Cricetulus griseus: one gene and its partner. The protein of the gene in region 1 interacts with the protein of each later gene in a pairwise test. Links are inferred from orthologs where the notes say so. Each region holds a gene or a part of one and is shown in the gene's direction. Other genes may lie near its edges.

Evidence for each region.
Region 2: the proteins of Fam161a (region 1) and Dhx32 interact in binary tests that used the Homo sapiens proteins (3 or more experiments, as listed by UniProt). The two-hybrid records come from large-scale screens. The link is inferred for Cricetulus griseus from reciprocal best matches to the Homo sapiens genes FAM161A and DHX32.

Annotation. Positions count from the first base shown.
Region 1 is NW_023276807.1:83,748,015-83,751,834, reverse strand, and holds part of Fam161a (protein FAM161A), read left to right. Parts: intron 1-2,630; exon of another isoform or gene 2,631-2,747; intron 2,748-2,825; coding exon 2,826-3,055; intron 3,056-3,820. UniProt on the Homo sapiens protein: Involved in ciliogenesis.
Region 2 is NC_048596.1:67,131,970-67,135,789, forward strand, and holds part of Dhx32 (putative pre-mRNA-splicing factor ATP-dependent RNA helicase DHX32), read left to right. Parts: intron 1-1,112; coding exon 1,113-1,358; intron 1,359-3,142; coding exon 3,143-3,242; intron 3,243-3,334; coding exon 3,335-3,493; intron 3,494-3,820.

The DNA of each region.
Region 1 (3,820 bases):
TTTAATCCCAGCATTTGGGAGGCAGAGGCAGGCGGATCTCTGTGAGTTTGAGGCCAGCCTGGTCTCCAGAGCGAGCGCCAGGATAGGCTCCAAAGCTACACAGAGAAACCCTGTCTCGAAAAACCAAAAAAAAAAAAAAAAAAAAAAAAAGTGAAACAACCAGGAGAGTTTATTTGAGTTTTGCTTGCATTAACAGTGAGTAGCCACATGCAGACCTCAGTGTGTGTGTGCAGCTCCTCAGGCCTGTCTCTGCTTCCACCCTGCTGTGTCTCCCTTTCACACAGTTCTTCCAGGCCACAGTCCCCTGCTGTCTTCAGTGTAGATGACATAGGACCTGTTAGAGAGTCTGTGGGGGAGAGAATGAGCCACGGGTGTTCTGTCTGAAAACTGCCCACTGTTCTCCTAGAGGGCATATGTTTATAACACACTGGCAGTTTTACAGCCTGAGTTTTAGGTTTTCATTTATGTTAGGATCATGGGCCTTTTCCTTTGTATTCAGTAAGATCAGGTGGTCCTTCAGCAACCTGCCCTTCCAGACACAGCTCAGTCTTGCGAAAGGAAACACTGCTGTTTTCCTGTGGTGGAAGCTTACATATTCTTTAACTGTACATTCTTTCTTTCCACAAATATGTACTGGACATCTGTTCTTGGTCAGGCTCCTTCCTAGAAGCTGAGAACAAGAAAGAACCCTGCAAATAAACTCTTGCCTTTGTACAAACCCTTCTCCAGCTGGAGCAGGCCCGGGTATACAGATCAGCCAGGACGGGGCAGATGGTGTGAGTAAACACTTCTGGAGAAATGAAGTGGAGAAGAGGACTCAGTGAGTTGGGAGAGTGGCCATTCCAAAGGGGATAGTCCACGAAACCTCTCTGGAGGTGGTGTTTGAGTGGAGAGTGGGCGAGTATGCTGTGCAGACTTCTGGAGTGCGAGCATTGAGAAAGGGGGCAAATGCAGGGCCTTGGGGGAACTCTGCTCATCCCCCCTGCCCCCATCATTTTTTTAAGATTTTTATTTATTTATTTATCTATTTATTTATTTATTTATTTATTTTGTATACAACATTCTGCTTTCATGTGTATCTGCACACCAGAAGAGGGTACCAGATCTCATAATGGATGGTTGTGAGCCACCATGTGGTTGCTGGGAATTGAACTCAGGACCTCTGGAAGAGCAGCTGGCGCTCTTAACCTCTGAGCCATCTCTCTAGCCCCCGCCCCCATCAATTTTTATTTACGTGAGGCAGTTGTCTGTGCAGGTCTAAGTGATTACCATGTGTGCGCAGTGCCTGTGGAAGCCAGAAGAGGGCGCTATATCCCTAGAACGGGAGTTAAGAATTGTGAGTCACCACGTTTATGAACCTGGGACCTGAACCTGGGTCCTCTGCAAAAGCAACAAATTCTCCTAAGCAACTCATGTGACATACATTAAATAGGTCTTTGGCCCTATGAGTTGTTGATAACAAGTTTCTACATTTCATTTGTTTTCTAGAATTTATTCCAAGTGGGACAACACCAGCCTCTCAAAAACTTTAAAAAAAATAGCAACAAAAATCTGAGGCTAGATAGATGGCTCAGTGGTTAAAGCACTTGGTGCTCTTGTAGGGACTGGGATTTGGTTCCCTGCACCCACACCAGGCAACTCACAACCACTTGTAACTCCAGCTTCAGGGGATTGAACCCCCAGCTCCATGGGCACCTGTACTCACCCATGCACACAGGTATGCACATAATCTTAAAAATATGGCCCTCTGTCCATCCATCCATCCATCCATCCATCCATCCATCCATCCATCCCCTCCTTTCTCGTTGTGTTGGGAATAACCCCACAGTCTGGTACATGCTCAGCAGACACCTTACAGCCAAGGCCCTTCTGCAGCCCAAGGTATGATTTGTAATGGACTCTTCTGAATTTTCCCATTGGAAAGGCTCAACAGACTTATTTTATGAAATCATATCATTATTTGAGGAAGGGTTTCTCACTGGAATCTAGAGATCACTGATGAAGCTTCAGGTCCTGTCTCATCTCCCCAATGCTGGGGTCACAAACTTGTGTCACCACGCCTGGCTTTTTTATGGCTTCTTATGCTTGCATGGCAAGCACTTGACCAACTAAGCTGCTTCTGTAGCTCTAGAAAGTGAGGTTTTTATCTCTTTAAAAAGAACAGAACGATGGGTAAAAGGGATGAGAGAAAGTCCAGTCAGAACCCTCCAGTCCTGACTTGTATGTGGAGTGTCTCCTGCATGCAAGTGTACATGCAGTATTTCTCCACGCTCACTTCTCCTGCCCAAACTGTCTGCCATACACAGGTGTTACTTTGCTTGCTGCCCACAGCAGTGACCCTTCTGAAACTCTCTTTGCCCCGTGTCCTTCTCCCCTCCAAGGTCATCCCAGCCTGGGTCCTTGGAAGAGCAACTGAGAACTGTCCCTGGGCCTGCCCTCTCTCCACTGCACACCCTTGGAGCCCCGAGGCAGGGACCCCTCAAGAGCTGGCTGTAGGTACAGGAGAGTAGCTTCTCTCTTGTCAGCAAAGATGCACAACTCAGAAGAGGCTTCTGGTTGAAATCTGCGTAGCAGTGTCCCATTCTGTCTTCTGCAGTGTTAAGTGTCCCAACTTGAATATTTACTGTCAGTTTTCTAGGTACCTAACCATTATAAAATGGATTGAAGCCAGGCTTGGTGGAACACACCTTTAATCCCAGGGAGCAGAAGGCAGAGGCAGCCTGCCTGGGCTACAGAGTGGGACATATGTAAGAACCAGCGTTTGGATCAGCATCAATTGTTTATTTCATTTAAAATAGCATATAATGGATTTCTCCTCCCATCAGGCTAGTGGTAACAGCTTTCCCAGGGAAAAAGAAGATGTGACAATCCAGGACATTGTGGACTTTTCTGATGTTTACCACTCTAATGAAGAGTATTTCAGGAAACTAAGAGAGCTAAAGGCCGCCCATGCAGAAACCATGGCAAAATTAGAGAAAATGTACCAGGACAAGCTAAATATAAAAGACGTCTGGCCAGTGATCACCAGGGAAGATTATTCTAGTGTCTCCTCTAGGTAAGTTTGTGCTCGGTGTCATCTGAGGACTGACCTAAGATAAATATTTAAACTAAGTATGAAACAAAATATCCTGGAGTATTTGCTTCTAAATATCAGGTCCTCAGCAACAGTGAGAGCCTGTCTAACATACATTTGGGGTTTGATCTCCAGCATGGTTTGGAAACAAAATTGAACTTAAGGATGACACTCTTGCTGAAAATGCTTTCCTGCCTCCCACCAAAAACTGAGCATGACCTCCTGTTTCTGAGACGCTGGAGTGTCATGTCTTTGGGTGTCAGATCTCAGGCAGGCCTGGCACACAGGAGATAGACAGACTAGGTCCTTCCTAGTATTAATGATATATAGAGGTGGGATTTTATTCAAAATGTTTAATGGCTTATCAGTTTATTAAGTTACCTCTTGCTTTGAGGGTCATTTAGTGGCCATCTGTTTGCTTGTTTGTTTTTATTGTAATTTAATGTGTTTTTCCTGCATGTTTGTCTGCACCACATGTGTGCCTGGTGCCCATGGAGACTTGTGAGCTGTCATGTGGGTGCTGGGAATTGAACCCAGGTCCTCTAGAAGAGCAGCCAGTGCTCTTAACTGCTGAGCCATCTCTCCTGCTCCTTCACCTGTATTTTCTCGCTTTACTTATGCTTACAGATATGTAGCAAAATATTTAGTCTGGGCTGCTTTGCTTATTTACTCTTTTTTTTATTTTTGAAACATGATCTTTACTATATATAGTCCAGGATGGGTCTTAGAACTTACCATATTCCCTTA
Region 2 (3,820 bases), on another chromosome or scaffold:
AGGTCACAGGAAACTGACTTTGAACTCTGATAACTCGGATAAACTATGTGAGCTTTCCATTTGGTGGCTTGCTTTGCACTTTAAAAGACAAATTTGGTCAGCATGGATGTACATGCCTTTAATCCCAGTACTAGGGAGGCAGAGGCAGGAGGATCTCTGTGAGTTCATGACCAGCCTGGCTTACCGAGTGAGTTCTAGGATAGCAGAGAGTACACACAGAAACCCTGATTTGAAAAAAGCAAACACACACACAACACAAAAAGAAGACAGAAATTCCAAAACTATAAAAGGACTCAGATAAAGTAACATCTATTCTCAAAAACTAGCTGGGATTTGAAAAATGTGCAAACTAAAATACTTTACCTTCAGGCACTCCCATTTACTTATAAGTAATTTCATGGCAGGTGGTTTATATTCTTTCCCAGTATGTTTGATGTGTATTTGAACAGATTGTTTTAAATGCCTGTAAATGCAGAGTGTCGGTGACTGCTTCCTGCCCATCTTACAGGTTTTCTGCCACCACTTTGAAGTACACATGGGTCAAATGATTTCTAAGGTGACCTAGGTGAGGATCCCAATCATGCTTTTCTATGTACATTTACATTTTATTTTAGTTTTTTGGGATAAAGTTTCACACTCTAATCCACGATGGCCTTGACCTCACACTGTAATCCTCCTGCCTCAGCCCACTGAGCCCCGGGAATACAAGGCATGAGCCAGCACACCAGGCTGGGATACTGCTCTTTACAGAAAATCTAGATGATGTTGGGTAATGCTTAGTTCCACTGGCTCAGAGAACAGTGAACTACCACCACTGATGTGAGGATGAATTTGATTTTTCTGCTCATGTTAATGTGTCTAAGAAATGGCATCATGCTGGAAGACTTTCTTGAGGGGAAAACCATTCTGGGCTAAAAGCAATGAAATTGTGTGCAAATCACATTTAACTTTCCCAAAGAAAGATTATGTCCTCCTCCTTCATTTAAGGCAATAGCATAAATGTTTCTTTCCCTATGTGCATTATTACCTAAAAAAAAAAAAATACTGAATTCTGGGATATTTCTGTACTGAAATATTGTTCTTTATTCTCATGGATTTTTTTTTCACTTTAGGATATTGAAAAAACCTATGAAATTGTGTGTCAGGAAGGTTCCAACTTAAACCCAGATCTAGGCGAGCTGGTGGTCATTCCTTTGTATCCCAAAGAGAAATGCAACCTGTTCAGGCCAGCGGATGAAACCGAGAAGAGATGCCAAGTATACCAGAGAAGGGTGGTGCTGACCACCAGCAGCGGGGAATCTCTGATCTGGAGCCACACGGTCAAATTTGTTATCGACGTTGGTTTGGAAAGAAGACAGGTAATTACAGTCCTACCAGCCATCACCAGAACCCACTGGCTGGCTTCCTGCTACACCAGTGTCCAGAAAATGACAGTACATAGTGACCCAGGGCTTGCTTTATTTGGTCACATGTGCACAGAGTGGTTGTAACCATCCGATAAAGCCTTGGCTATATCTCTTTAGCATATTGGTAGTCTGGAAGGAAATTAATTGAGGTACAGAGGTTTGAGGAAAGACCAAATGTTTGATAAAGGTGTTGGTTCCTGTCTACCTGCCTGCCCATCTCCTTCCTTTCCTTCTTCCTTTTAACTGGAAATTAAACCCAGGGCCTCCCATATGCTAGCCCAGTGCCCAACCCCTTGTGTCTTTAGGTAAACCTACTAGCATAGCACAATATTCGGCTTCTGAAGCTTCTCTGGTACATCATGTCTGGTTATCTGTTTTTCAGCATAATTAGCATATTACTTCAGGGAAATTAGTTTCAAGTCAGTTGTCTAACTTTTGCAAATACTGGATAATTAGACAAAATTTTTTAAATCTAAATATTTTAGAAAATGAATTCTTTCCAGGCATAGTAGCAGTGGCACGTGCCTTTAGTCCTAGCACTTGGGAGGCAGAGGCAGGCAAGTATCTTGTGAGTTCCAGGACAGCCAGGACTGTTACACAGAGAAACCCTGTCTCAGAAATAGATAGATAGATAGATAGATAGATAGATAGATAGATAGATAGATAGATAGATTATTAAAGCTGAATGGTGGTGCCGCACACCTTTAGTCCCAGCACTCTGGAGGCAGAGGCAGGTGGATCTCTGTGAGTTTGAGACCAGCCTGTTCTACAGAGTGAGTTCCAAGACAGCCAGGACTACACAGAGAAATCCTGTCTCAAATCAAACAAACAAATAAATAATTTAAAGATAAATAAATTATAAATGAAATAACCTCATACAAAATATTTTTATCATTCCCTTTAAATAAAAAAAATGAAGGTATGGTTTCTTAAACTCTGAAGACACTAGAACAACAACAACAACAACAACAAGCTTTTGAAACAGAGAGGAAACTACCAGATTTTATCCCTTGAGGAAACTCTATACTTCCTGAATATCCTTGTTTTACTGTGACACCATGGTGTCCCCATGGTTATGAAGGTTCCCTTGAAACAAGTTGGGGCAGTCTCTTTTGAGACAGGGTCTTGCCATGTAGCCTGGCTGGCCTTGAACTTAAGATTCTCTGTCTCAGCCTTCGAGTGCTGGGATCTTAGTCACACACCACCACACCCGCCTTATTGGAGTCAGTCTTCAGTTACTGCATCATTCATAGAACACAGGCTGTCACTTGCCCTTTTAAGCTACATGCAAGAGTAGCTATTAGTTCTGTGTGGCATTTGTAGTAGGTGCACCACCCAGAAAATCCCAGTATGTGTCATAAGTGGGCCCACTGTGCTAACATTGAGTCTGAACAAAACATCTAAGCATTATAGCCCTGTTGAATGGAAACCCTTTCTTTTATGTGACATTGTGGGGTGGGTATCCCCACACCAGCATGAGGCTCTAGAAGTGGCAGCTCAGTACTGTGGCAGGTGACACTGAGGTCTCCAGTAGTTCCAGAAGTGTTGTGGAAGCAGGCAGCTTATAGATCCATTTGTCAAGGCAGTTTCCATCTCATGGTGTGCAGTAGACACCAAGCAAAGGAGAAGAGCCTGACAGCGCTTCTGTGGTGGCATGCTGGGGGCAGTCACCTTGGAGAGAGGCGGGTGGCTGCACCTGAATTTCCAGGAGGTAACATGCTGTGTTTCTGTTAAAGGTATACAACCCCCGAATCAGAGCCAACTCCCTCGTCCTTCAGCCCATCAGCCAAAGCCAAGCTGAGACCCGCAAGCAGCTTCTTGGGTCTTCTCCCTCAGGTAGTGTGGTAGGCACAATAGCAAGCAGTGGGAAGTCCTTCAGGGGTATGTGTCACAGCAACACTGAAACCATCTCCCTTGACTTCTTTTAGGAAAACTTTTCTGTCTGTACACTGAAGAATTTGCCTCCAAAGACATGAGGCCCCTTAAGCCAGCAGAAATGCAGGAAGCCAACCTGACCAGCATGGTGCTCTTCATGAAGAGGGTGGACATCGCTGGCTTGGGCCGCTGCGACTTCATGAACAGGCCAGGTAGCTTTACACTCGGGCTTTCTTATTCCTGCCGCTTCTTCCTTCTGTGGCACCAGAGCGCACATAGCACCTGTCAGTGTAAGCCAGCATGAGGTTTGTTCAGTGTTGATACCTTCTCACCATCATAGGCAGAAATTCTCTAAAGAAAACTTAAAAGAACAACAACCTAGTGTGTGTGTTTATGATGTGGCTAGGGGTGTCCTGGCTAGGGTTACTTTTGCTGTGCTGAAACGCCATGACCAAAAACAAGATGGGGAAGAAAGGGTTTATTTGGCTTATACTCCCAGATTGCTGTTCATCATTGGAGGAAGTCGGGACAGGAACTCA